4 linked regions of the Tamandua tetradactyla genome follow. The protein of the gene in region 2 purifies or fractionates together with the protein of the main gene of each other region. This does not show direct contact. Links are inferred from orthologs where the notes say so. Each region holds a gene or a part of one and is shown on either strand. Other genes may lie near its edges. The genes, in order: RALY, FUS, ILF2 and HNRNPC.

The links.
Region 1: the proteins of FUS (region 2) and RALY purify together in Homo sapiens (affinity purification with mass spectrometry; 3 studies listed by BioGRID and IntAct, with this or other methods). This does not show direct contact. The link is inferred for Tamandua tetradactyla from reciprocal best matches to the Homo sapiens genes FUS and RALY.
Region 3: the proteins of FUS (region 2) and ILF2 purify together in Homo sapiens (affinity purification with mass spectrometry; 3 studies listed by BioGRID and IntAct, with this or other methods). This does not show direct contact. The link is inferred for Tamandua tetradactyla from reciprocal best matches to the Homo sapiens genes FUS and ILF2.
Region 4: the proteins of FUS (region 2) and HNRNPC purify together in Homo sapiens (affinity purification with mass spectrometry; 3 studies listed by BioGRID and IntAct, with this or other methods). This does not show direct contact. The link is inferred for Tamandua tetradactyla from reciprocal best matches to the Homo sapiens genes FUS and HNRNPC.

What each region holds. Positions count from the first base shown.
Region 1 is NC_135327.1:18,996,615-19,004,403, forward strand, and holds the start of RALY (RNA-binding protein Raly), read right to left. Parts: upstream 3,017-7,789; 5' UTR 2,652-3,016; intron 2,314-2,651; exon of another isoform or gene 1,916-2,313; intron 1,540-1,915; exon of another isoform or gene 1,344-1,539; intron 1-1,343. UniProt on the Homo sapiens protein: RNA-binding protein that acts as a transcriptional cofactor for cholesterol biosynthetic genes in the liver. Binds the lipid-responsive non-coding RNA LeXis and is required for LeXis-mediated effect on cholesterogenesis.
Region 2 is NC_135349.1:23,364,112-23,371,513, forward strand, and holds the start of FUS (RNA-binding protein FUS), read right to left. Parts: upstream 3,007-7,402; 5' UTR 2,895-3,006; coding exon 2,882-2,894; intron 1,302-2,881; coding exon 1,277-1,301; intron 1,186-1,276; coding exon 1,031-1,185; intron 353-1,030; coding exon 208-352; intron 58-207; coding exon 1-57. UniProt on the Homo sapiens protein: DNA/RNA-binding protein that plays a role in various cellular processes such as transcription regulation, RNA splicing, RNA transport, DNA repair and damage response. Binds to ssRNA containing the consensus sequence 5'-AGGUAA-3'.
Region 3 is NC_135330.1:6,483,789-6,491,110, forward strand, and holds the start of ILF2 (interleukin enhancer-binding factor 2), read right to left. Parts: upstream 3,004-7,322; 5' UTR 2,857-3,003; coding exon 2,852-2,856; intron 1,793-2,851; coding exon 1,733-1,792; intron 1,191-1,732; coding exon 1,148-1,190; intron 747-1,147; coding exon 642-746; intron 242-641; coding exon 164-241; intron 1-163. UniProt on the Homo sapiens protein: Chromatin-interacting protein that forms a stable heterodimer with interleukin enhancer-binding factor 3/ILF3 and plays a role in several biological processes including transcription, innate immunity or cell growth.
Region 4 is NC_135340.1:35,250,202-35,257,514, reverse strand, and holds the start of HNRNPC (heterogeneous nuclear ribonucleoproteins C1/C2), read right to left. Parts: upstream 3,019-7,313; 5' UTR 2,858-3,018; intron 2,223-2,857; 5' UTR 2,177-2,222; intron 1-2,176. UniProt on the Homo sapiens protein: Binds pre-mRNA and nucleates the assembly of 40S hnRNP particles. Interacts with poly-U tracts in the 3'-UTR or 5'-UTR of mRNA and modulates the stability and the level of translation of bound mRNA molecules. Single HNRNPC tetramers bind 230-240 nucleotides.

The sequences.
Region 1 (7,789 bases), on a different chromosome or scaffold from region 2:
GGTAGTTTCTTCCGAAAATAGAGAAGGGGTCAGCAGTCATCTTTGAAAAAAGAAAAAAGGCTTCAGTGATGAGCTTCAATCCAGAGGGGAGAACTTAACCAAAGGTACCACAAGGCATGGGTTCTTGCTCTAAGACTGTAAGCCATGCCCTGCTGCAGATGCAGTAGGTTAAGGAAGACACTAAGAGCACAAGTTATATTGTCTGCAAATTGAATCCTGGCTCTGTCACTTACTAAATTATATGACCCTGAGCAAGTCCTGTAACATCCAGAAGCCTGTTCTTTCTTCTGTAAAACAGGGATAATAACAGTATCTAATGCAGAGGTTTGCTCTGAGGATTAAAAGAGACACAGACATACAGTACCTGCTATATGACAAATGCTGAATAAGTGTTAGTTATTATTACTAACACTACAAACTACTTTCACAGCCATTTTCTCATAAACCCTCAACAATCCTGTGAGAGTTTACAGATAAGGAAATCGAAGCTTAGAGTCACAATGAGTGGCTCATTTGATGAGGCCAAATCAAATCCTCAGCCTGAGAGATGTCCTGCCCCATCTCTTGTTTAACTGCATGACCTAAGGCAAGTGCCCTAACCTTGCTGTATTTCAATTTCCACGTAATAAAATGGCAATACAAACCTAGCTCAGTAAACTCCCTCACAGAAATGAATTAGAAATGAAATCAGATGATGGTTACAAAAGAGTGCTGTAAACTATAAAGTACTGTAAAACAAAAGTGGCAACTTATAAAAAATGGTATACCTGTGCACAAAATCTGGCCTTTTACTGCTAAACCTGAGGCATAGAGAGTGGCTGGGACTACACAACTTCGTTGGAATTTCCATTCACTCAAGATTCTTGGTCTTTCCAGGGCTGAATAAATGGTTAAATGCCCTTTCATGAGGCAGAAATAAAAATTACTGAACTGAGAGGCAGAAGACTGGAGATTCTAGTTCTTGTTCTATCACTAAGGCAGTTTTAATTTAGAACTTACTATTAATACAGAAAGGGGAACAATTCCTCCCTACCATGATTCTTGGGATGCAGAGGGGGAAGCACAGTACACCTACCAGATTCCAAGGGATTAAGACAGACATCAAATATCAGGGTAAGACCTCCCTTCCTAAGAGACCCCTCAATATTCAGCTCAGGAACTCCCCTGCCTGATTTTCAGACTCCTCATACATACTGGAAATCAAACATATTGGAAAACTGAAACACTTCCCAAAGCTAATTTTAGTTCACTTTAAGCTCTCTGGGCCTTATCTGAAAATAAGGGAAATAAAACCCTACTTGAAAGCAGACCTGAGTAAATGATTTGTCACCCCTAACCCACAGAAATCTGTAAATCTAAACACCAGAGAAATGCAAGGTTTGGAATGAAGAGGGGAGATAATGGAGGAGGAACATAATATGAACAAAATTATGGACAGACTTCACTTGGATTTACACCTTCCTTGAGCCAAAGTCCCAGGGAATTTCAGTTACGCTTGAGACCTGGAGTTCCCTGCATCCACCAACTTCTAGAGGAAAGGTAAGCAGAAAGTCATTCTATCCTCCTTTCCCTCGGAGTTTTGGTAGCCTAGAATGGTATTTCATGTGGAAAATGGCCCAAAAGTCAGGAAGGACCTAGTAATGCCCCTAACTCATGGTTGATCCAGGAATAACTCCTTTTGCACTAGGGATTATACATGCTCACATTAGGAAATAAATAACAGGTATTAGCATCACTGCCTTACACTTCTGTGGCTACAGGGTGTTTTGGAGCAAACTAGTCTCTCCGTGCCTTTATTTCTGCTTCTGTGCAATGGGAATAACTCCAGAAGGCCGTTGTGAGCACTAAATGAAAAAACGCCTTATGAAATACCTGGCAAGGGGCCTAGCACATGATCAAGTCTCATTAAATTTACCTGTTGGTATTAAACAGTTCTCATTTATTAGTTCCCTCATCGAGCACGCAAACACCCTGTGAAACGAATTTCATTTTTCCCCCATTTCACCGAGGCGCGAACTCAGGCTGGGCCGCGAAGAGCACTGCGTGAAGTGCGAAATAACGCCCCAGCTCGAAGGCCTGTGGTTGTTCCCCTCCAAGCCCCAGGTGTACCAATGAGCTCAGGACCGGGAGAAGTAGGATCGGGGGCGCTCAGGCCCCCGAGGGTCGAGTCAGGGCCAGTTGTACCCGTCTCAGGGATCCACAGACCCAGCCTAGGAGGACAGCAGGGCAGTGTGGAGGCGGAAAAAAGCCCGGGGCCAGAGTCCTGGCCCTGCCCGCCGAGGCCTCCTCGGCGCGGCCTCCGCTCCACTCCCTCCTCCCCTCGCCGAGCGGGGCGGGGCGCAAACACAAAAGACTCCAACTTCCGAGCCGGCGCGGGCCCACCCGGCCAACTCCTGGCCCAGGCCCGGGCCGCGGAACTGCCGGGGCGGGCGACACGGGGCGGCGGGCTCGGGTACAGGGAATGTGCGGAAGGAGGGGATCTGGAGTTACTCCGGCTCTCCGGGCTCCGGAATGACCAGAAAAAGAGTTTCTAAAAATAGGTAACGGCCCGCTTGAAGAGGTGAGCGACCGAAAAGAAGCACAGGAACACACACTCACACACTCACACACTCACACACTCTCTTGAGGAGACGCCCGCGGCTCCCACTCACCCGCGCCAAGAGATCTGGAGAGAGAAGCTCGGCAAGGAAGGAGGCGGTGCCGCCGCACTTGGGGGCGGAATGAAGGGAGGGAGAGAGGGAGGCGGCCCCGACCGCGGCGTGAGGAGCCTGAACACAAGCGCGGGAGCCCTCGTCTGCGGCGTCGTCGTCGTCGCCGCCGCTACCGCCCCCACAGCTTCTCGCGGCTTGATCTGCCCAGAGCCCGCGCCGTTCGCGCGTCCAGCTATACTGACAGCGGCGCGAGCTCCGCAGCCGCGAGTCCTTCCCTCGGCCTACACCACTGAGGCGCGCAGGGGTAGGGCCCCTCAGCTTGGCCCCGCCCTCCGCCCTAGTCCTAACCTGGGCTTCCCTCCCCTCCACTCCTGTCTCCCGGGTAGATGCTACGACAGTAGTGCAACGAGATTGGAACCTCGCCCAGGCACAACCGGCCCCGCCCCCAACGCCTGGGCTCTCTTCACCCCTCGGCTCGGCTTTGGAAAGGTCCAGAGCTTCCGCGGGGAGAGGCAAAGGGCGGGGCAGGGGCGGGGCCTGATAGGGAGGCGGGACTGAGGTGGGAGCCTGGGGACCCGCGTAAGGGCGGGAAGAGGGATTCGCTTGTACTAGTAGGGAGCCGAACGTGGGGCAAGGCTAGCAGGGTTGTGAATCCCTAACAAGAGGAGCGCAAGAGAGGTAAAGAAAGTAGTGGAGGCCTCGGAGAGCCTGGAGCTCCCTCAGAGCTGGAAAGGAGAGGCTGTGCTCGGGCCTAGAGGGCGGCCATACCCAGAGGAGGAGTCACGGTGGAGGAAGACCAAGAGAAGCTGGAAGAAGGAGGGGCTGAGGAGAAGCCACGAAAGAAGGAACGATTGAAGCGGGACCGGAGGAGGCGGGCCCGGAAGCAGAGCCAGGAGGAGGAGCCCGAAAGGTGGAGACTCTCGGGAGGAGCCGGAAGGAGGCGTGACCTAAAGAAGGTTTGAGTGGGTGGTGCTTGGCGTTAGCCGGGCGTGGGGATGGGGCTCAAACTCGTCGCCTGGAGGCAATGCTCTAGGGATCCGGAAAAGAGGAAGTAGAGAAGAAGCACAAGGTCTTTTAATTTTCAAGGAACCAGGCACTAGGGCTTCATGTCTAAGCTGGAACTAGGGGAAGAGGCTGCGGTGACGGTGGAACTCTGGGGGAGGACTTAAAAAATATATAAAGGTAAAATTCAAGTAAGTCTCTTTATACTTCTGGCTGCAGGGAATGTTTTCTAACTTGATCTGAGTGGTGGTTCTCCCTCCTAAACATCTCCGCTGTTGAATTTTTCACTTGGATCACTAGTCCATTCGCCAGAGTCTCTGATCCCCAAGCCCCAGCCTCCACAGAACAGCCAGAGGAGTTTTCTGAGAGCACAAAAGGACTGGTGCCTTTCAGTCTTCAGTTATGGACCTCCTTGAAAACTGGGAACTGACTAGAAAAATTCTCCATGTCTCATCCAATCTGGCCTGCGATTTCATGATTGTATTTATCATATCGTTTCCCCCAGAATCTACCTGAAAAACGAGATTCTCTACTCTGAGCAGAACTTGAATCAAGAGCTGTAGCTCTGCCCGATCAGCAGTTAGATCTACACTTCTGTATAGGCTGGAACTAGATTCTGGAAAGAACTGATTTCTTTGCTAAGCTTGACAGACAGTGGGAATCATTGAACGGTTTTGAGCAGAGGGTGCTTTGGAATGATCAAGTGTCAAGGTTGAAAGAATCTGCTCCATGAAATTGTGAAACTATAACCCACAATTGGTGGCTGAGAGGGGGGTGGGGGAGAGGTTCAAGGTTATGAGGACGGTTCTCCTAAGTCAATGAAAGAATATATTATGTCTCTCTTGGTCCTCACCAGCTCAGCCCTGGGCCCTTGTCTCTCCTGTCTGTCTTGCCAGGGGTCTCCAAATCCGTTTTTTCTTATCAAACAAAAGACAGGGTGGCATCTTCAAAGTATGGGCTTCATTAAGTAGGGAGAGCAAATTCAGACCTTCCCTCCCAATGCCTCTCTCACCTCAGCCTTCAAACCTCCTAACAGAGAGAGTACCAGTCCAAGTGACCTTCCCTCTGCCCCTCTTTGCAATCCATTAGCTGCACCACCAAGATCATATGCATTGCATTAATTGAAATTGACATTAAGGGCTCACATGCTCAAGCACATTCAAAGAAATTATAAAATGAATAAGGCTTTGTGTATGTGGCATTTGTTCTAATGAGAAAAAGCATCTCTAGAGCATCTTACTCAAAAAGGATTATGTACCCAGGAAATGATTATGAGGCCTCCCACCCCACCCATGCCTCCCAATATTCAGAAAGGCTTTAGTCTCCGAGATGCATTTCTGCAGATGTCATCCATCACATTTCCCCTTCGTGTTCTCCATTTCTTTATCCAAATCCACTCCTCCATATTCTTTTTTTAAAACTTTTTTATTGTGAAATATAACACACACAAAAAAATAGATTTCAAAGTACATTTTAACAAGTAGTTACAGTATGAATTTCAAAGTATGGTATGGGTTACAGTCCCACAGCTTCAGGTATTTCCTTCTAGCTGCTCTAAGACACTGGAGACTAAGAAGAAATATCAATATAATGATTCGGTAGTCATTTTCATTTGTTAAATCCTATTTTCTCCGTTAAAACTCCTCCTCCTTTTATCCTTCTCCCAATCTGTAGGGATATTTGGGCAAGAACCATCTAACTTCATGTTGAAGAAGGGTTTCAACATTATGGTGTATGGGGATGCAACTGGTTGATGCTCGTGAAGATACTGGTAACTCTGAGTTTGGGGGATTATCTGGCCTAGGGACCCATCAGGAGGTTGTAGGTTTCTGAAAAATAAACTTAGTGAGGGAAACTTTTTATAAATCTCAGATAGAGCCCTGGGTATATTTTAGGAGTTATAGGAATACTGTTGGTTGGGGCTTGGCATACCATGGGAATTAGCAATATCTAGCTGAAGCTTGCATAAGAGTAACCTTCAGAAAAGGCTCTTGACTCTATTTGAACTGTCTGAGCCACTGATACCTTATTTTGTTACATTTTCCCCCTTTTGGTCAGGGGCCATTATCAGTGCCGTGGTACCAGGGCCAGGCTCATCCCTGAGAGTCATGTCCCACATTGTCAAGGAGACGTACACTCCTGGACATCATGTCCCACGTAGGGGGGAAGGTAAAGATTTTCCTTGCAGAATTGGACTTAAGAGAGAGAGGAGGCCACATCTGAGCAACTAAAGAGTTTCTCTGGAAGTAACCCTTAGGCATAATTATAGGTAGGCTTAGCTTCTCCATTACAGAAATAAGTTTCATAAGAGCAAGCCTCAAGATCAAGGGCCTGGCTTATTAACTTGGGAGTTCCTAATGTTTGAGACAGTATCAGATTTCCCAAGTGGGAAAGTTTAATAGTTCCGTAATTTTTCTTCAGTCCCTCGAGGGATTTTGCCATTACTTTTTAATTATCTGCCCAACGTATTCTGGAATGTATCTGGGTATTATATTAAGCTATACAGAATTGCAAGACCTCATTCCCAATGCTAGACTCCATGTGTTTAGGCTGCTTAACTGAACTGGCCAGATAGGTTAAGTTAGATTGTGTGCTATGGAAAATTTAAGTTTTGGACAAAATAAACCTCTCATCCTTTAGTCTCATGCAGTAGATGAAATTGTAAAACACAAACACCATCATCCTTTACCCTGTGTCTGATTTATCTTAGTCCCAGCCAGATCAGCTTTGTTTTATCTCTAATTGAAGTCTGATCTCTTTTTTGGCTTCTTTACAGTTGCTTTATGTAAGAATACTGACTTTCAGAGCTGCACAACTCCAACTCTTAGTCATATGTGTCATCTGTATGACACCTCCATATCCTTTTAAAAATTCTCAGCCACATGTTAGTACCTTTGAGTTCTCAGATGTTCTTATTTGCTGTACCTCAGGATTTCTTAACCAGGTGGTCCTAGAAGTTCTCAGCTTTTGATCCAAACAGGAGACACTGAGATGAAGAGAATCCCACCTGAAGTAGATTGTAAGTTCTAGATACTGTTTTTCCCTGCACTGTATAATTTCCCTTTCTTGGAATTAGGGCCTGGATTTCCAATGAACCCCCAGTTCCCATTCTTGGTCCAAACTTTATAAAGAGTGAAGATACTAAATTTGGACATCCTGGGTTTGAATCCTGGTTCTGCCATTTACTACTTTTGTGAATCTGGGAAAATTCCTTAACCTCTCTACCTCTCATTTAAGAAATGTGGAAAATAATATCTACCTAACAGAGCTGTTGGATGGATAATATGAGTTGATACACATAAGATGTTTAGAAGAGTGCCTATCACATAGTAAACACTCATTTAATGTATTTATTATTTTATTATTACTGCAGAAGGAAATGGCCACTTTCCCCTAGGCCCTGGTGATGGGACCTGATGCAGGCTGGCCAATCAGGGCATTCCAACCCTCTACCCGCGGTAGAACCCTTCCCACACGTAGAAAGCCATACCAATCATTTGGATTGACACCATGGGTTGAAACTTAATTTGTTCTCTGAAAGCCTGGTCTTACCAGACCAATGCTGTAAAGTAAGGGAAAACTTCCAATTTTGGGCCAGTTCATTAGGAGAGACAAATCTAAGTAGGGAGACTAAGGAACTATCAAATTTCACCCTGCTGTGAAGGCCCACTCTCCCTACCCTAGCCATTGGTCAGATACCATGAAAATAATTGTAGTAGACTGTTAATTTGGGTGACCCCCAAGGAACCATGCTTCCCAGATTTTGTGATTTCATGTAGCCCCCTTCCACATTGACTCTGGGTTTGGCCATGCAACTACTTTGGCCAGTGGGACATTAGCAGTCAGGATACAAGCAGAGGCTTGATAAATGCTTGTACCCCGGGGCTAGTCCTCTTGTAATGCTTACTCTTTGGACCCCTGAGCTTTCAGATAAGAAGTTTGGCTACCATGCTGGAGAGACCAATAGGAAGGATTCTCTAAAACTACATGGAGAGAATCAGAAGTCCAGCCATCCCAGCAGTTTCCCTGCTAAACCCAGCTCTCAGCCAGTCTGGTACCTTAATGCAGGCACAAGAGTGACCACCAGCCAAATGAGGAGAAAAACTGCCCACCTGAGTCCAGCCCAGATGGAGGGC
Region 2 (7,402 bases):
CCATAGCCCCCACTCGGGGGCTGTCCATAACTGCTGCTCTGAGAACTGCCGCCATAGCTAAAGGAAAGGAAAAAACCAAAACGAAAATGTCATAATACCCAAAACTTTCCTTCACTTTTAGCACTTCCCATTTCTTTTAATTGTTTCATTATCACTCCTTACCAATTCAGCCCCAATCTTCCAGGTCTTCCCCCAACCCCTCCTTACCTTCCAGAAGTGCTGCTGGGAGCTGGCTGCTGCCCATAGCCGGGGTAGGAGGACTGCTGCCCATAAGACGATTGGGAACTCTGTCCACTGCCATAGCCACCAGTTGAGCCATATCCCTGGGGAGTTGACTGGGTGCCATAACCTGCTACAAGGCAAAGAAAAAGGGAGCCACAAATGCTATGAGAGGAATGGGCAAAGAAGAGGTTGGAAAAAAGCCACTTCGTTCTTCCTAATACAAGTTACCCTTCTCTTCTACTCTAAGGCTAAGGTACCAACTCCTTAGGACAGTATATCTCAGCCTCCCAAAACCCAGTCTTCAGGATCATGATCTAATTTAAGCCCACACGAATCCTACTTAGTAACAGCATTTTAATGTATGAGCAACGAAAGTTATATGCTTAAAGGCCCCAGGGCAAATTTCAACTCCTACCGTATCACATGAAGTTTGAGAGCCTAACTTAAAACACCTTCAAGCAAGCCATTTCCTCCCTATTAAGTACCAAACCTAAAATTGTTTTTCTTTAGGTGACACACTCCCCTCTTATTTTACTTTCATGCTGAAAATGGGAAAAAGTACAACATAAATAGAAAAAACAGTCGAAGAAAAAGGAATGCATAGAATTACAAAGCAACATTAAGCATTTTTGTTTAAAACAAAAGTTTTTACTTTCAAAAGTTTCTAAGAAGTTATAAGTTATAGACCGGATAAGAGAAAAGAAACATGGAACAAATGGCACTAACATTTTAGCACTACTGCGATTTAAAAGAAAGGCAACATTCAGAAAGAGCAGGGACAGGTGAGGTGACCCACTAAAAGACTCACTGTTCTGGGTCTGCCCATAAGAACCACCATAGCTGCTTTGGCCATATCCTGAAGTGTCTGCCGACTGGCCATAACCACCATAACTCTGCTGTCCATAGGGTTGACTGCTCTGCTGGGAGTAGCCCTGCCCAGGCTGGGTGGGGTAGGCCCCGTAGCTGGGTGCAAAACAAAGCAAAAACAAATACAATGAGAAAAATACACCTCTGCCACCCTGCCCTCAACGAACTGTCCAGAATTGACACTCACCTTTGCGTTGCTTGTTGAGTATAGTCTGCAAAAAAAAAAAAAAAGATTCACATTACCTTCAGCCAGTCTTCCCTGAGAGTGTGACAGAGCCCTAAATTCCCTTAACTCCAGCACTTGGGGCCTCCAAATCAAGAAAATGAGCAAAAACTATGGTGCAAAAAAGGCCATAAATTTTCCCCTATAAGACATTAGTTGGAAGGAAGGAAAGGTAAGCTGGTAGATGATCATCAAAGAAAGATGGTCATGCCAAAAAAGTGTGTTTATGCGAAGACCAAGGAGTCTTAATCCACTACGCAAGAAAAAATTCCAGGATCAAGTTACAATTTTCTGCAAACTTAATTCAGTTCAGAAACTGCACTAAAACATTTTACATACAAAATTCATTTTCACAACTACCCACAACTCAAGATATGATAACCTGCCAAGGGTCACAGAGCTACCTGGGGCAGGTTTGAATTCAAGCCCGAGGAAGCAACCTCCATTCTCTCAACTGAGATCCAAAGAACAAGAACGTGTTCAATAGAGACCATTTTCGCCCTCTGGCCAATCATTGAGAATGGCAAAATTGGGGTTTTAGCGCAGTCAAGAAAACAAAAGCGATCCCCTTTGATACCAAATGAGAGAGAGATCGGCCTTCGAGAAGCTTGCTCAAAAGGCAAGACTCAGGCCTGAGGCGCCCAATGGCGTCCGTTTTCTCATCTACTCTGCTTTCCAGGGAGCTGCAGAAAAAATTCGGCGAACCCAAGCTAGTGAGAGCGCTTTTAAAACGCCACAGTAAAGGTACAGTATCCAAATCGACTCAACTGCTTAGGACAGGAAATGAGGTGCTTCCCTCGCTGAGAAAGGAAGAAAGAGGTGTGGCTAGGGGCGGATGTTCCTTTCCATCCCCATCTCAGAGAAAAGGAATTTAGGCGGGAAAAATGTCGGGCCAGATTCCGTAGTCCGTTGGTCAAGCCCCCATGCTGCCCCCTCCCACAGACCGTTAAGCGGGCGCGCGGCCTAAGCGCCGAGCCTCCGCCCCCGGCCGCGTGGCAACCCAGGCGGGAACTGGGCGGTTCCACCCCCTCCCCAGGGGCCTGGGAGGGCAAAGCCCACACCGGACGCGCACTGCGGGGTCTCCCGCGGAGGGTCTCGCGACAAAAAACGGGGCCAGCACGAGGCGGGCAGGAGTACGCGCCGCGAGGAAGGGGAGGGGCCAGAAGAGCGCGTGCGCGCGCGGAGTACCCGGATGCAGTACTGCGACAAAGCGGGCCCAAATGCGAGGCTGGGAGCGAGGGAAAGGAAGGAAGGCTATGGAGACTAAGCACTTCCACCTTGGCTCACGCTCCAAAACGCAGAGAAACGTCCCCTTCCATTCCCCACCTCAAGTAAAGAAATGTTAGGAAATATCTCCTGCCCTGCGCGAGAAGCGCCAGGGAAGAGAAACAAAATGGCGACATCAGCCCTCACCTTCCACCCTTTCAGCTGCTTCCCGCCGGAATGGTCCGTAGAGACGACCCCACCACACGCGATCGCCATCCCGGTCCCAGAAAAAAACTAAGGCCCAGCAAGAAAGGAACGAACTCCCAGGCTAGCATGCCACCCCCGCCACGCGCCCTTACCTACCGTTTGAGGCCATGTCCGCGCACGCGCAAACGGCCCGACAAGCAACACAATTCCAACACTACAGAGCACCGACGCCTCGAGAACTGAGCGGCCCCGCCTTCTTCGTCGAGGTTTATGTACGCCTCCCCGCCTACGTACCGCAGGGGAATGTACCAAATGTGGAAAAAGAAAGGGGGAAGCACGATGGGGCGCCTACCAAGCTCCAGGAAATATATGGGATCCGAGCAGACGAAGAGGGAGAAGATTGGTCATAAATGTGCAACTCATAATACACAATCTTATTTTTCTGGTGGCTACCACAGATTCCCTCGGGAGGCCTAGCCGATTATTCAGTTTCACCCCTAAAAGGCCAAAATGGTACAGCCTGAGGCCCCCCGCTGGGGGCGGGGCGAGGAGCCCGAGGCGTCTGAGAGCGGAAGTACAGTCGGGAGTGGCCCGGCAGGAACCGAAATTCTGCCTTGCCCATTTCACTGGGCCGCACTTTCACTTAGGATAGCGAGCTCCTTCTTGCAGCTGCATTTTCGCTTCTCCCGACGCACCGTCCCTCCGGCCACCCGCCTCCCCTGCGCTCTCGCACTCTCACTGATTCTAACGATCCTCCCCCAGTAACACCCACGGACCCTTTCCCTCCCGGCCTCTCGGTTTTCACTTCATCCTCTTTCAGGGATACCTTTTGGTCACCCCTGTGAGGGCTTGTGAATTGTGACGTTTGACCTGAAACAAAGCATAGATGATGTTTGCCAGACCCTTTGGTCATAATCTAGTCCGGCGTTGAGTTCTCATCCTGTTGCCCCCAGCCCTTCCGGTGACATTGCACTCGCAGATTCTACATCAGGAGTTCCCGGCCTCTGCCCTTGACTGATACGGAGCTACTTTTTATTTTCTTGAAGGCCCACCACAGAATCAATTTGGAGATCCCAGTAATAACAGCCATTTTGTATAACGCTTAAGTGGCTTCAAAATGCGCAAAAAGTTGTTTTCCCATCACAGTGTTGGGAAGAAAGGGAAGGTATCTCCATTTTCTGATAGATAAGAAAAGTGTGACTCCTGCCAGATACAATCAATGATGAAAGTACACCTAAGGATCAACAAGTCGTGATTCGAACCCAAGTCTGTGTAACTGCAAAACACTCCTTTAGATGGTTACAAGAACGCTCTGGAGGGTTGGGAAGCCTGTTCACTCACCATGAAAGCAAGGGCAAAAAAATTAACTTGAAACTTGTACTTTAATCAGCCTTGCCTGGAAAAGGCAATTTGAAACTATTGAATAAAATAGAAGACGTTACTCCTGGGTATGCGTGCCAGGCAGTTTCCTTCGCAACTTACCTTTGGCCTGGGTTCTAGAAATTTCTGGGTAGAAAGTAGGCGTTTTCCAAGAGAAACAGTGAGGGCTGTGCCCCAGGCCTGATTAGTGATCTGTTAGCCCTTGAACACCCCACCCCATAGGAAGGGAATGTGGCTCCGGAGTGAAGGCAAAGGGAAGTGTGTCACTCATTCGTTTCATTCATTTATTCAGTATTTATAACAAGCTCTAGGGATATATTAGTGTACAAAACAGATGAATCTAACTTTTTTTTTTTTTCATGGACAGGCGCTGGGAATCAAACCCGGGTCCTCAGGTATGGCAGACAAGCACTCTTACCTGCTGAACCTCCGTGGCCCACCCTGAATCTAACATTTAATAATGAAGCTAACATTTAACAATGATAATATTCATGTATTCTGCATATTTGTATATATATTTTTATAACAGCTAACACTTCAAAAGGCTTTCTAAGTATTAGGCACTGTTCTGAGTGCTTTGAGTATAATTTGTTTAATCTTATTCTTCACAATAAACCTACGAGGTGGAGGTCGGTGTGAGAATTGCATTTTACAGATGAGGAGCTAGGCACAAAATGTTGAACGCCCTGCCAGGGCTACTCAGAAAGTAGCCCAAATGGGTCAGTCTGACTCAGAGTTCCTGCTTGGGCAAACATTGCTTGAACACTGCATAGCATGTGCAAGCCAGGGGTCAGACCCAAAGAGAGGATAAAAGAAGATCCAGTCCCTAAACCGTAGGACTTTTATGACCAGGGGTGAAATGAGACACAGACCGCAAAGTGAACCTAAAAGAAATGTGGTAAGTACTCTAACATGGAATGAGGGACTCCAGAAACTCTGCTGAGAGAGCAAGTCATGTACCAGGTAGACAGAAAGGTAGAGATAATTTGGTAACATTGAAGCTAGGCCTTGCAGGATAAGTAATTCACCAACCATGAAGAGAAGAAAGGGTGCATCTGGCAGGAGTGTCAGAGACAAAGGTATGGATGGGGAAGGGTATTCATGGGCAGAATAATGGGGGGTGGCAGGATCAAATTGGGGCCCCTGAAAGTCTCCGTACAGGGTCCATGTCACCAGACTTAACTCTTTCAGTGAGTTTCACCTGAGCATGTAACATGGGGACCTCTACTTAATGGACACCCCTGCTCCCAGCCCTCCCACCTCTCCCACTGTTGATTCTCTGTCTTGTCCTCCTGCATTCTCTTTCTCTGCTCACCAGAGGCTCTGTCTTCAGCCTTCTTAACTTCTCCCTCAAAATGCAAGGCCCAAACTGCAGCCTGACATCTAATTTAGCCTACTTTAGGATATCCTGTTATGTATATTTTTTCTTTTCTTTTTATCCTCTTGTATTTTAATTTTTTTAAGTAGTTGCCAACACTGAAATAGAAAAATGTTACATCAAAATCCAAACTTCTGGCTTTTTCTTGAAAATTGGAGGTTCTGACCGTCCTGGTCCCACATTCTCATAGGACAAGGGTCAAGTTGAAGAAGAAGCCACCACCTTTAGCTGGGGCACGCGCTTGTAATTCACCACTTGTAATATCAAGGAGACTCCCTACGTAAGAATGCAAAGAAAACATTAAATGGAAGTAGTAGTCAAAATATTGTTTTAAAATATCTTTGTAATATACTAATGCATTAAATGTAACAATCTACTGGCAAGTCTAATAATTGTAATTTTGAAGTACATTGGAATGTAAAAAATATTTTAATATTATCTGTAACGTCTGTGATGTGATCTGAAAATTTATGAGATTTCTGTACGTGGTGAACACCCTAGTACTGCTAATCCTGCTGTGATTTGTTCCCCTAGTCATCAGATTGGGAAAAAAAAATGTTAAATGGCAGTTAAAGGTAAGTGAAAATAAGGACAATATTTTCTCATTCAAGTTTGGAACTGCTGAATGCTATCTTCAGAAGCTTTCTGGAGTTAACTCTAGAGGTTAAAAACTCTGGCTGTAGACTAAAATGTGATCTGGAATGTGATTTCATTCATGTCATGCGTTCATCCCCCAAATGTGTATGTCCAATCCTGACTTTCCTGAGTTCCAGGCCCATACTTTGGGTCATCTCCAACCCAGTTTTGTCAAGCAAATGCACCTCACAAGATTTGAGGCAGCAGCCGCAAATGGGAAGTTCAGATTCTGACCAGTAGAGTGGCTGAGACCTTTGATTCTTCAGGGATAGCTCTGGTGGAAGTTATAACATCCTTAGTATCACAGAAGCCAAATGCATGAAGCAACAGCCCTGGAATTTCCACTAGAAAAGTCCTATGCTGTTGCTGGACTCTTAACCTGGTTTGTAATACTGGTTGGGAAATGTCCAAGCTTGACTCCTTGACCCTCCCAGAAATTTGGCAACCATCTGTAATAATCTCTCCACCTATCATAATCTCTTTTTGCTTAAACTACATAAAGTAGATTATGTCTCCCGCTGCTAAGAACTTCAGTTTAAACCACTGTCATTGCAACAGCATTTATATATCAAAAGATTAGGAACAACCTAAATGCCCATCAATAGGGGATCTGGTTGACTTAATTATTAAACAGAAAGATGTCTCAGTCTCAGCACTATTGGGATTTCGTGTCAGATAACTCTGCTGTGGGAAGCTAACCTGTGTATCATAGAATATTTAGTAGCACTCCTGACCTCTACTCACTAGATGCCGGTAACAACCCCCAAACCCCCAGTTTGACAACCGAAATTGTCTCCAAGTATTTGCCAGATGTTCCCTGGAGGAGGAGGGTAGGGACAAAGGTTGAGGAGCAATGTGATACAGCTATACCATGAGCTAAAAAAAGATGGGGGTGGTATTTCTGGATTTTGAGAGGTGGTTTTATATATGTATAATCTGATGTTAATGAAGCCGATCAGGTCAGGATTAAGGTAATTCAGAACATTGGAAGGAAGACTTTGTCTGTATTTTAGAACAGTACCTGCTCTTTGAGACCAACGGAAGAAAGGTTTGTTTTGTCCAGAACCTAAATTTTCTGTAGCACATAATCTAACTCAACCTGTCAGGATAGCTCATTTCAACAATCAAAACACAGGCAGCCCAGAAGAAGAATGAGGGTCTTTAATCCTGTGTAGTTTAATGTAATGCGTGGGTACATCCTAGAATATATTAAGCAGATAATCAAAAAGTATTGGCAGAATCCCTTGAGGGATGGAATTAAAAATACAGAACTATTAAACTCT
Region 3 (7,322 bases), on a different chromosome or scaffold from region 2:
CTTGTGAACAGTACCATTCACAAGACTGGTACTACAAAGGAATTCCATGTTCCCATTTTAGGCTTGGATCTGGATAACAGGGAATTGAACAATTAAGAGGAAGCCAAGGAAATTTCCACAAATGAGACTGCCCCTTTGTAGAACTAAATCAACAAAAACTTACCACTTCAAATGTCCCTGGAGCCACAATCAAATTGTCAATCACATTGTTTATTTTTGTCACCAGAGAAAGGATAGACGCCTGAAAAACAGCATGAGACAAAACTCCCTAAGGTGAAAAATTACAAGCAATTTCTCAGAATTTGAATATTTTCTCATAATCCTTTCCATACAAGCTTAATACCAACACAGGCTTTAAAAACATTTTGACCCTTCTGGCCTTGAATATGCCAGAAAAGAACATTTTTTATCACATAGATGAGATCCTCCAATAAAAACCTGAATGCCTAATAATCTGTTAATATACTCAGCTGGCTCTCGGTCTCTACCCACAAGAAGAAGTAAGAATAATAAGAAATAAGAATAAGAATAAGCTTTCTGAGCTTAGTCTCTGAAAACACTATTTACTCTTAACCTCATCTGAGATTATTCACTTTTCTGACCACTACAGAAATCTCAGGAAGGAAACCAAAATAGCATACCTGTTCAGCAGAATTGGGAGCAAGGTCTTGATTCCTCTTCAGCAAGGCCTCACTGAAAGAGGTTTCATCAGGTGCTGGCTTGACCCGGGGGAAGGCCATTTCACACTGAACAAGAATTAAACTATTTAATACTACAAACATAATATTTACTCAAAATAATATACAGGAATAAGTACTTTGTACTGTTGCTACAATAATATATACAATAGAACAGCCATAATTTAAGGTCACGACTTTCACATTAACAGATGAATCAGATATTCTTATTTGAAATAAAAAGTTCAATCATATTACTGTCAACAGTAGCCAAGAAATTATCTCTTCACCCTGCTTACACTGTCTTTGTATGCAACGCAACACAGCTAACTCAAAGCCCCAACTTTATTAACAAGTCCTTGTTCCTATTCCAACTACCACTTAACTTCAATAACTGGGAAATGCTAAACTCCATTTCTATGTTAAGGTAAACAGTGGCCAGGAAAGTCATACTAACCCCAGATACTCACCAAATAGAAATCAAATGGAATATGTGGCACAAAGGGCCTAAACCTAAAACAAGGAAAACAGTCCAAATTATGCACCACATAGAAATCAAATGAGATGTTTGGCACAAACAGCCTTAACCTAGAAACAGAATTAAACAATGTTTTTATGTTCTCTCTTCCAAAACTTTGGTTTTCTAGCATCTCTTGGAGACTAACATCAAGAGAGAGAAATCTTTTTAGCATTCAGATATTCAGGTTCCTGAACAGATAAAACTTTTAACTGAGAAATAAAACGACTGCTCAAAGTTGAAAGTTCTACCTTACAATTGCTAATACTGCATCGAACCTTTCACCCAACCAATGACACCTAATTAACAGGTTCCATATACTCTACAAATTGGAGTTTTGAAAACATTTGTGTCTTGAGAATCAGGGTCAGTCCCCTGGGGGATGATCCTTCTTAGCAAAATCAACATTTAGCAGGACAGCACCAGAAGAGATGTTAAATCACAGCTACACCTAACATAACATTAGTCCACTCCAAATTCCTACTTAAATGATTAAGAGAAACCAACCAGTGCAGAGGTGCTAAAAACTGGCACTCACCCTCCTCCTGGGCCTCCTCTGGAACCAAAACGCCCACCACGACCACGGCCTCTGTCACCCCTAGAAATGTATGAAAGGTTTTTTTAAAACTCTTAAAAGTTTTTTTAAAAAGAGATTACAAAGTCATTTGAAAATAGCCAGACATCACCATTTATTTATATTAAATAAATGTAAAACTAAGTAAAATTTCCCCTTTTATTCCCCATAAATGTTTCGTTCCCCATAAACGTGTGGGCTGTATTCTTTCTGGTGTTTTTCATGGTGTTTTCACATACAAACACACAAAATATGCAAACATATATATTCCTTTTCAAGATTCAGAGCAAGTCATACTATGTACTTATCTGAATTGCTTTTTTTCAGTTAATACAGCATGTACTCCTTTCTGTGTACAGAGTGATCTCATTCCAGAGTGATCTCATTCTTTTTGATAGTCGTGTAGTAGTCCATTAAATTAATGTAGTATCATTTAAATCAATTTCTTGATATAGAAAGTTGGGAGGTTTTTTTCTTTTTACCTCACTGTAGCAACTCCACTATACCCACCACATCATTTCGAATTAGCCTCCCTTCATCGCTCTGAACCTTCGGGAGCCTAGTGACAGTATTTCGATCACACTTCTCCTCATTATGGATAATTTAATCATAACCTCAATTAATAACGGGACCCAGATACTTAACACCTAGAGCCCCTACCGTAATACCTGGGAGATGTGCCAATCCTAACATTTCCGAGATTAAAGTGAGTGCTCATTTATCTACTAAGGCATTTAAAAATGTAGTGATCATAGCCTACACGTGAAGCAACTGGCAGTGAGGATGAATGGGGCACGATCCAGCCGTCTCAGCCCAGAAGCGGGGAGGGTCCGGCAGGGATCCGCGGACACCCCCTATCCAGAGACAGCGGCCTCGAACCCGCCTCCCGCGCCCGGGCCCCACCCCCGTCCCAGGCCCGCGTTCCCCCGCCCCAGCCGGCCTCCGACCCCTCCTCCGCTACCAGGCCGGGAGTTCTCAGGTTTTAGGCCAATCCCCAATCCTCCTCCGACTCCTTTCGGCCCACCTTCCCAACATTTTCAGTCGAATATCCAAAATCCTCATACAGCGCCCCGGTCCCCTTACCTCATGGCGCCCTAAATCCCGAACAATGGAGGCCGCGCCAACCGCCCCTCTCCTCTGAGGAGCGGACAACTGGAGAAGCAGCTTGCCGGTGTCTCCCAACAAAACCCGGCGCTATTGGCTCCCGCCTTATCCCGCCGCTTTTGTCTATTGGTTCTATAAACCAATAGACATAAGCAAAGAACCAATAAAAGACGCCTGCTGTGTCGGGAACCAGCCAGTAAGAACAGGCTCGACAGCAATGGCGGCAGTTCCTTCTTCAAGAACTAGGTAGCGCTCTTTGGAGGAACTGAACACCTCGAACGCCACCAATTGTAAATACTTTCTATATGACCTTTACAAGCCCTGAACACCAGGTAGCAGAGTGGCGCAGCGGAAGCGTGCTGGGCCCATAACCCAGAGGTCGATGGATCGAAACCATCCTCTGCTATCTGGTTCTTTTATTTCCCTCCTTATAGAGAAAGGTGATACGTATGATTTCAATTTTTTTAATAGATGTGAACGCCATCTTTTCAGTTTTTTCTTCCCTTATAAATGCAGCCTTTCAAAGATTTTTCTGGCACTGGCGAATGAAGTGTACTGAGGAAGGGTCCTTAGGAAGCGATTAATACATCACACTTCTGTGTAGTTCAGCAACTTGAGGCAGAAAGGGAGACATTGTATTGATTTGCATTTAAATCAATCATTTTACTATGTGCTGGCTGTTATCCCTCCTGTTAATTTTCCCCCTTCTTGCCTTCTTTGTCATGGGAGATATAATGTTTATTATTTTCCCCCCTCTGTTAATGGGAAGTTATGCACTCTTTTCTTTTTTCTACCCTTTTAGTGTCTACCCTAAAAATTACAACACGCATCTCTGACTTCAGAAAGTCCTCCTGAAAAAATACAAGAATAACTTAATTCCATTTACCACCTTCATTCCCCTCAGAATTAAGTACTGTGTTGTGTAATGTTTTACATACTTTATTGATGTATAATTTACCTACATTAAAATGCACAGATCTTAGCAGTATAGCTAGTTAATGTTGAGTAATGTTTTAAATCTATGTAACCACTACCCAGATTAAGATAAAGAACATTTTCATCACCCTAGAAAGTTACCTCATACCCCTTTGCCCTGTCCTTAGAGGGAATCACTATTCCTATTTCTGTTTTCATATATTAGGTTTGTCTGTTCCTGGGCTTAGAAAGAGAGAGACCACATCTGAGCAACAAAAGAGGTCCTCCGGCTAAAGGGAGAGTTTATTTGGTATAAAATTTACATTTTGGGTAGTGCATTTCCTGATTTACCTTTTATGGTCAGTTTAGTTGATACCATAAGTACCATAAGATCCCATAAGAGAATCTTGAATAGGGCATGAGATCTTGTTGGGTAGTCCAGGTTAGTGTGATGTCCCGATAAATCCCAGAGTGATTTGGACAGTGAATAAAGAAGTATTTGTGAAGTCCCCTTAGGGAGTGGGAAAGAAGGGGAAAAGATTCAACTTTCCAATTTGGAGAATTTCTGATATTCTCACAAGCAGTGGGGACAACTAAATCAATAGGCCAAGCCCCAATCTTGGGGTTCACCCCTGTGAAACTTATTCCTGTAAAGGATAGGCCAGCCTACTTAAAATTAGGCCTAAGAGAACCTCTTTGTTGATCAGATATGCCTCTCTCTAAGCGACATGGCAAGGGACCCCACTGCCCTCCTCTTCTACGTGGGTCATGACTCCCAGGGGTGTGAATCTTCCTGGCAATGTGGGACAGAAATCCCAGGATAAGCCGGGACCTGGCATCAAGGTATTCAGAAAACCTTTTTGACCAAAAGGGGGAAGAGAGAAACGAGAAAAAGTGTCAGTGGCTGAGATATTTCAGACAGAGTTGAGAGGTTATCCTGGAGGTTATTCCTTTTTTTAAAAGTTTTATTAATAAAACCAATCAACATACAATATGAACATTCTTTTTTCCTCATCACATAGTTGTATATTCATCATCATGATCATTTCTTAGAACATTTGCATCAATTCAGAAAAAGAAATAAAAAGAAAACAGAAAAGAAATTCATACATACCATACCCCTTACCCCTCCCTTTCACTGATCACTAGCATTTCAATCTACTAAATTTATTTTAACATTTGTTCCCCCTATTATTTATTTATTCTTAATCCATACATTTTACTCATCTGTCCATAAGGTAGATAAAAGAAGTATCAGACACAAGGTTTTCACAATCACACAGTCACATTGTGAAAGCTATATCATTATACAACCATCTTTAAGAAACATGGTTACTGGAACACAGCTCTACATTTACATTTTCAGGCAGTTCCCTCCAGCCTCTCTGTTACACCTTAATTAAAAAGGTGATATCTACTTAATGCATAAGAATAACCTCCAGGATAACCTCTCGACTCTGGTATCTCTCAGCCATTGACACTTTATTTTGTCTCATTTCTCTTCTCCCCCTTTCGGTCGAGTAGGTTTTCTCAATCCCTTGGTGCCGAGTCCCAGCTCATTCTAGGATTTCTGTGCCACGTTGCCAGGAAGGTCCACACCCCTGGGAGTCATGTCCCACGTAGAGAGGGGGAGGGCGGTGAGTTTGCTTGTTGTGTTGGCTGAGAGAGAGAGGCCACATCTGAGCAACAAAAGAGGTTCTCTTGGGGGTGATTCTTAGGCTCAATTTTAAGTGGCTTAGCTTATCCTTTACAGGGTTAAGTAAATAAACTTTCATATAAACAAATCCCAAGATTGGGGGCTCAGCCTATTGCTTTGGTTGTCCCCGCTGCTTGTGAGAATATCAAGAATTTCCCACTTGTGACACAGACTGTGCAACAGGACTGGATACAAAAACTCAGAAATGGACAGCACAATACTACCTAACTGTAATATAATTATATTAAAACACTGAATGAAGCTGCATGTGAGAATGATAGAGGGAGGAGGGCTGGGAACATAAATGAAATCAGAAAGAAAGATAGATGTTAAAGATTGAGATGGTATAATCTAGGAATGCCTAGAGTGTGAAATGTACAATGTACAATTTTAAAAATGTTTTTGCATGAGGAAGAACAAAGGAATGTCATTATTGTAGGGTACTGAAAATAGATGGTAATTAATATTTTTAAATGTCACCTTCTGTCTGAGACTAAAGCAAAAAATGTTTACTTGTTACAAAATTTATATTTTGACTAGTGCATTTCCTAATATAACTTATGTAAATAGTTTGATTGAACGCCATAAGTACTTGGAATCTCAGATAGGACATGAGATTTTGCTGGTTTGTCCAGAGTGATGCCCCGATGAATCCCAGAGTGATTCGATCAGTGAGTGGAAAAGTATCTGCAAAGCCCCCTGCGGGGAGTGGTGAGAACGGGGAGAAATTCAGCTTCCCCAAGTTGAATTCTTGATATTCTCACAAGCAGTGTGGACAACCAAAGCTATAGGCTGAGCCCCCAGTCTTGGGGTTTGTTCATATGAAACTTAACCCCACAAAGGATAGGTCAAGTCTACTTAAAATTTAGGCCTAAGAGCATCAGACACAAGGTTTTCACAATCACACAGTCACACTGTGAAAGCTACATCATTATACAATCATCTTCAAGAAACAAATGGCTACTGGAACACAGCTCTACATTTTCAGGCAGTTCCCTCCAGCCTCTCCATTACATCTTGAATAACAAGATGATATCTCCTTGATGCATAAGAGTAACCTCCAGGATAACCTCTGGACTCTGGAATCTCTCAGCCATTGACACTTTGTCTCATTTCCCTCTTCCCCCTTTTGGTCGAGAAGGTTTTCTCAATCCCTTGATGCTAAATCTCAGCTCACCAAGAGAGCCTGTTTTGTTGTTCAGATGTGGCCTCTCTCTCCAGCCAACACAACGAGCAGTCTCACCACCCTACCCCTCTCTACATGGGTCATAACTCCCAAGGGTATGGACCTTCCTGGCAACGTGGGACAGAGATCTTGGAATGAACGGAGACTCAGCATCAAGGGATTGAGAAAAACCCTAGAATGAGCTGAGACTTAGCATCAAGGGATTGAGAAAACCTTCTCGACCAAAAGGGGGAAGAGGGAAATGAGACAAAGTGTCAATGGCTGAGAGATTCCAAACAGAGTCGAGAGGTTATCCTGGAGGTTACTCTTATGCATCAAGGAGATATCATCTTGTTATTCAAGATGTAATGGAGAGGCTGGAGGGAACTGCCTGAAAATGTAGAGCTGTGTTCCAGTAGCCATTTGTTTCTTGAAGATGATTGTATAATGATGTAGCTTTCACAGTGTGACTGTGTGATTGTGAAAACCTTGTGTCTGATGCTCCTTTTATCTACCTTGTCAACAAAGGAGTAGAACATATGGAATAAAAATAAATGATAGGGGGAACAAATGCTAAAATAAATTTAGTTTGAAATGCTAGTGATCAATGAAAGCGAGGGGTAAGGGGTATGGTAGGTATAATCTTTTTTTTTCTTTCCTGTGTTTATTTTATT
Region 4 (7,313 bases), on a different chromosome or scaffold from region 2:
AGGGACATTCTCCAAGTGAGATCGCAACAGCATGACCATTGTCATAAACTACCAACTGTTAGAAATGCAAATTCAGACCCCACCCCCATCCAGACTTAATCTGAAATTCTCCTGGGGGGGGGAAGGCTGGGGGGGGCAGCATTTTGTTTTAGCCAACTTCCCTGCCCATTTTGATATCTGCTCAACTTTGAGAACCACTGTAGGGTTTAACTAGAGACATCTAGGAACCAATTCTTTAAACAAAGTGCCTAATCCTTCCAGTGGACTGTGTCAGAAGTAGGTTTGAGTATATTTCCATACACTATAATAAATCCAAGAAATCACTTAGCATAGTAACTGCAGTTATTAAGGCAGTTCTATCTAAACAACTGCTAATTTCCAAAACAGCTATCAACAATAAAACTATTCCCGTACACCTTTTAACCTTTGGCAAATGACAAACTAGAAATTAAAACAAGTCCAAGACCCCTGATTTTACAGATACAAAACTAAAATGCAGAAAATGAAAAGTGATTTACCCAAAATAACACAGGTAACAAGCGGGGGAGGGGGGGATGGGATGGGATGGGATTTGGTTCTAACTCTTAGGCCAAGATTTTGCAACTGTTATACTCCCCAGGTAATCAATCCTTCTCACATTCAACAGTTAATGTGTCTTTAGGATTAGAAACAGCTTCACTGGAATTTATTCTTGGTTTGTTTCTAACAGCAATTCCATCCAAAACAAGATCACACGCTATGTTAAACCTAGAAATGTAATTACACTATAAGCTATATTTGAATTCTCTACACAAAGAATAGCAACCACCACCAAAGTATTCCTGAGAATGACACAGCATGGCAAACACAAAAAAGTTTGTCTTTCCTCTTAAACCCTTCCTCTCTAGCCCAACATGAAAATGTTACTAAAGCCTACCTCTTGAAAACACAGCTAGAATTGTTTCAGGTATTAATTTTGTGGACAGAGTTTCTGACGGATGTTAACTCAGGAAATTTGTGACATGCTGATGTTAATGAGGCCATATCTCTAACACCTCGAAATTTCGACAACTACACAAGAATTTCGGTTCTCAATAATAACCCTTCTTAAGTATTAAAAATTAATGCCTCAGGGGCGGGCCATGGTGGCTCAGCAGGCAGAGTTCTCGGCAAGCCATGCCAGAGACCCGGGTTCGATTCACGGTGCCTCCCATACAAAAAATAAATAAATAAAAGTAATGCCTCACAGTCAATTGCCAACAATACTTTTACCAACTAGATGATTGCCTAAATTAATTATCACTTGCTTTTATCTTATTTCTGACAGTTCAGCTGCGTGATGAGCTTTACTTTTAAAAAGCCCATACACAATATACATTTTAGGCCTTCAAAAAAAAAAGAGGGCAGGCAATGGTGGCTCAGTGGCAAAGTTCTCACCTGCCATGCAAGAGACCCAGGTTCGATTCCCACTGCCTGCCTACGTTAAAAAAAAAAAAAAAAAAAAAAACAGGAAATACTTTTGATACTGCAGAGCCCATTACAGGATTTACAGTATCTACATAGTGAAGAACGAGCAAATACATAGCCATCTAGAATATGCCTACTTTTACCGTCTAAAAATTAGGTTTCTTGGAGGATGAACTTCTTACTCTTCATTACTGGTTTAAACTTTGCTTAACACAGCATTCGTATTTGAGATTTACACACTGTAAAAAATATAATTAGCTCAATCTTACACAAGGATAAATTAGCCATTTCAAGTTTTACTAACTCAGAAAATTTTTAAGTTTCAGTATCTAGCAAATAGTAGGCACTATAATAAAGTGTAGTTGGGCATTTTTTTGTCACAAAAGTTTGGGTGGACAGCAAAAATTTATAAATACCAAAACATCTTAAAAACCGAATTTAAGTATGTCGTCGTCGACAGTTAATCTTAATAAAAAAATGCAACTCTCATAACTAATTATCTTTTCCAAGTGCAGTTTGGTAATTTTCCAGTTAACTGCCAGTGGTTTCTGTAACTAGGTTCTTGTAAAAATTCAAACGTAGTGCCTGGTACCAACTATTTTCAAACAACTAGGTAAATCCACTCGACTGACCTAGTGGTCAAATACCTCAACAGTCCTGATTTAACATACTCTGGCATCCAACACTCTTACGCCTCAGATTTTTGTCTGAGAAAGATATTAATACCTACCTCAAGCAAAGTTCCACTAACTTATATATTTCAAGTGATTTGAAACCTGCAGATAAAAAGTAGTAAGTCAGCTGCAATTTTAATTGTTAATACGTGAGGTTACATTTTTCTTTTTAAAATAAAAAAATTACTACTTCGAAGTCCACATTTGCCTAAAAAGAAGTAAAATAATAAATATTCAGAATACTAAGTCTATTGCTGTATTCATTATTTCCATGCCCTGCAGCACGTTTCAGAATTTACAGGCTCGCGGTACAACACTTTGGTAAGCACCCACTCCCCGACTGCTCAATTTTTAAATGTGAAAGAATGAGGTAACAGAAAACATTAGCTCCACATAAACTTCAACTATATTAACGAACATCTCGAGCTTCACTTTCAATTCTCTTGGGAGTCCTCACGGTCGTAGAAAAATGAAAGGAAACCAACCGTTAACATAGGTAAGCAAGACGAAAAAAGGTATTTTCTCCGACGATCAAGGCCTAGAGAACGCCAGATTAAATCCACGCGGAGATTGAAAACGCTAACACTCCCTCCCACACAAAACCTAATTCCCCAAGGCAAATAAAAGAAAAGGGGGCCTGGTTACTCTGCCGAGAGGGTTCCCTCGCCTTTTTTCCCCACACCCTCTCGCGCTCCCCGAAGAACCCAGTGCCTCTCCTTGTCTCCCCCTCCACTTACCAGGAGGGGGGAGGGAGAAGGGATTCAAATCTGAATCTCCCACTCCCAGATTCCACGCGAAGAAGCCGACTGCTGCTCGAGGTCGGCAACGCGGTAGCAACCGCACAGTCTCCGTCCGTCCACAAAATGGCTCCTGAGTCTCCTCCGCCGCCGAGGCGAAGGCCTAGTCCCCGCCCCATTCTTGGAACCTCTCTATTGGCTGCGCCCTTTCTCGCTCCCGTTCCTTGTAGGTCAGCTCTACTGTTCTTCACAATCTCGCCCAATTAAAATCAGCAATGGGTTAGACCAAGTAAGAGAATTTCCACATGCGTGAAAGAAACTAGCTTATAACTGGTTATTGCTCCTATCACTTATTGCTTGAGGAATTCTTATTGGCCAATGTACCGGACGTAGCGCTGGGTGAAAATTCGCCTTTGTATCGCGCGCACCGCTTCACATCCGGGTATCCGGCATATTTGATTGGCGTCCGTAGTGCCCTATCTCTACTCCTTCTAGCCCTTGGAGAAGGCCCGCCCAAATCTCGGAATTCCCGCGACGTGGGGGTGAGGAGGGATAAGAGGCGTTGTTAAGTTGCCGGCGCGAAGGTCGAGTCTTAGGCCCTCTTCCGCCTTTCGCAGCGGTCTTCTTAGCCTTGGGCAGGGGGAGAAGGTATACCACGAAGCGACGTTTCCTTTGTGCTATATGGATAAAGAAAGATTTTTTTTATTAAAGTGAGGAGAAAGCGGTGATAACTAGGCCATGTTAAGCTACATAGAAAACTAACCATACCCGCAGTTTTTCCCCAACCCCAGATCCCTTCCTCAGTTCCAGACTCGAATTTCACCTCCCCATTCCTCTGCCATCAAGCTCTTGTTCAGACAGCACATATCCCACCCAATTCAGCTGGCTTCCTATTCCTCTCCAATATATCAAACAAGGAAGTATAAAATGCTAGCCCGGAATACTATACAGATGGAATAGAACTAGCTAGCCTTACTAAGAATGAGGGAGAGCTATATGTGGATATGTTAAGGAGAGGGCTTATTCCCATTAACTGGAAAATGTAAGGTGCAGAACTCTTACATATTGTGATTCCATTTCTGTAAGTTTTTAAGGGACATATGAATATGTAAATGCTTTATGCATTAGTTTTAATTACTTCTGAATTACAGAGATTCACACAAAAAAGTAGCTGTTACCTTTGGAGAGAGGAATTTTTACTTTTTTCATTGGTATCCTTTCTATACTGTTTGAATGTTTTACAGTATTATTATTTTTTGCAATATTATTACTTTAAGCCAGTTGGAAAAAGCAAAAACAAAGGTAAAAGAAAAAAATACTAAAATGTTAATGGTGGTTTCTACTGATGAGGTAGATTTTTACTGCCTTGTGCTTTTCTATATCTTACATATTGTCTACTTTAAACAAGTAATTGGGGGAAATACTACGTGCTTAAAGCCTCAACTCAGCTGCAACATTGCAGTTAATTTAAAACTACCTCATAGCATTGTGATTAATTTTGCACTCGTCTGTTCTCTCGTCTTGGACTGGAAGCTTTTTTGATGGCAGAGTTCACTTACTCCTATTTGTATTCCGCTTGCTTACCACCTATTACAGGGCTTTATGCAGAAAGTGTTTGAAATATGTATTACACCGATTAATCATTTTTATTTATCGGGGGAAAATACTATTTTGCCAAGACAAGCAGGTAGATTCTACATTTCTTTTTTATTAAATAACTTATATGACAATTTCTCAGAGGGGTCCAGAGGCTCAGAGGTCTGGTTAAAGTGAAATTATTGACTTAAGTAAACAAAAATAAACATTAACATAGCTTTTTTATTGCTCACTGTTTTCATAGAATAAAAGTCTCTAAAACATTAATGAAAACTGCCTATTTCATTTTTTACCAGAAATCAGTTTTACTTCATATTCTTTGTCATGACCTACTTATTAACCAGCACTGTGTTCATAGAAGCAAAAATAGTACTTAAAAGACAACATCATGCTTTCAAACATTTCACCTGTTTGCTAGGTGGTGTGAAAGTGAAGTATACAAAAAGAATTAACTGCTAGTACTTCTACCAAATAACTTACAATTTTCTAGAGAAGAAAACAAGTGCAAAAATAGCATTCATACAAATGCAACATGGTGCAGAATGTTGAGCACCATGTTGATGGCAAACATTCATGACTTTGGATTCTGATGCTCTGTAAACTTAGGTGGGTAAGGTAGAGTGTAGAAAGTTCCCTTAAGTTCTCTTGTGCCTATTCTAAAGACCCTTACAGTTTACAGTAGAATGCATCTATTGAAAGGCTATATATAGTAGAAAGAAAGCATGAGCCAGCCTCTAGTAGTGGAAAAAGAGGTAAGGAAACAGAGAAAACTTGGCCTAAGGAGAAAATAAAACAAAACTGAACATTTGTTTTACTTCAAAAAATAATTCTGTTCAGAGATTTCATGTGGCTTGAAATATCCCCTCTACTCTCACTACCCCAGCCTGCCCCCGCCTCAATTCTGTCAAAAAGAAGATGAAAGGAGAAGCAGTAACTGCTATGAAATAACTTAACTTTTTACTGGAGTCATTGACCAAATACTGTCCTCAATATGTATCATCCTCCATCCCTCAGCCTCCCTAGTCCCATCCCATACAACAAGCCAAATAGGGCTCTTCTAGTACAATCGTTATTGCCTCTCATCCTCTGCACCTCCATTGTCCAAGAGTGTCATAACAATTTTCCCCTAGAGAGTGAGGAAATGGTTTCTGATGAATCCAGTCAAAACACTTAAGTAAAATTTCATGGTGCTCTGAGACTCAGAGTTAGAGCTCTGAAGGTATGAAAATCAGCACTACCCCATACAGTAACTGTTTAAAAACTTGAAAAAGGGATCAGACTTCGCTAAGAGATATGAATGAAGCTGATCTGGATACGACTAAGGCAAATTAGAACACAGGGTAAAGGATGATATTTGTCCATATTATAAAACTTCAACTTCTGTGTGAGACCAAAGGGAGAGATGTTTATTTTGCACAAAATTCATATTTTGGGTAGCGCATTACCTAATTTAACTTGTATGGTCAGTTTAGTTGAACATCATTAAGTACATGGAATCTTGAATAGAGCATGAGAGCTTGTTAGTTTATCTAGGTAAGTGTGATGTCTCAATATAGCCCAGAGTAATTTGGGCAATGAATAAAAAAGTATTTGTTAAAAACCCTTTGGGGGACTGCGGAGAAAAGAGGAAATATTCAACTTCCCCATTTGGAGAATTCCTAATATTCTTCCAAACAGTGAGAACAACGAAATCAATAGGCTGAGCCCTCAATCTTGGGATTCACCCCTATGAAACTTATTCCTGCAAAGCGTAAGCTAAGCCTACTTATAATTATGCCTAAGAGTCACCCTCACTGAACCTCTTTTGTTTCTCAGATGTGGCCTCTCTCTCTAAGCCAACTCAGCAGGTGAACTCACTGCACTCCCCACTACATGGGACATGACTCCCAGGGGTGTAAATCTACCTGGCAATGTGGGACAGAACTGCCAGGATGAGCCAGGACCCAGCATCATGGGATTGAAAAAGCCTTCTTGTCCAAAGGGGAAGAGAGAAAGGAGGCAATAAAAAGTTTCAGTGGCTGAGAGATTTCAAAAAGAGTTAAGAGGTTATCCTGAAGGTTATTCTTATGTATTATATAGATATCCCTTCTTAGTTTATGGTGTGTTGGAGTGGCTGGAGGGAAATACCTCATATGTTGAGCTGTGTTCCAGTGGCCTTGATTCTTGAGGACGATTGTATAACGATATAGATTTTACAGTGTGACAGGGTGGTTGTGAAAACCTTGTGTCCGATGCTCCTTTTATCCAGCATATAGACAGATAAGTTAAAAAATATGGATAAAAATAAATAAATAATAGGGGGGGAAAGGGTAAAATTAATTGAGTAGATTGAAATACTAGTGGTCAATGAAGGGGTAAAGTGTGTGAGATGTATGAGTTTTTTCTTTTTATTTCTTTTTCTGGAGTGATGCAAATGTTCTAAAAATGATCATCATGATGAATACACAACTATGTGATAATATTGTGAGCCATTGATTGTATGGACTGTATGAGTGTGAAGATTTGTCAATACTAATTAAAAAAAACTTTCATGGTGCTAATTTTACCCATCACTTCTTTATACTTCTTCACACTAATTTGGACACCTTTCTGACTGTTTGCAAGCTATCTCCCACAGGCAACCATGTTCTACTTGAAAAATTATATGATGGAGTTATTAAACATCACTTTCAAGGCCCTTACTCTTTTACTGCACCCTGCTTCACTCACACTCATCTGTCCCCCACTCTGACCTGCAAATTGTTGTCATGTTAATCATCGGAAAGCATCATTTTTTTTTGTGACACCCACACTAAAATCCTGTAATAGCGCTCTATTCCAGTCCTAAGCTTTCATTGCTTCATTCACTGCTTTTCCCTCA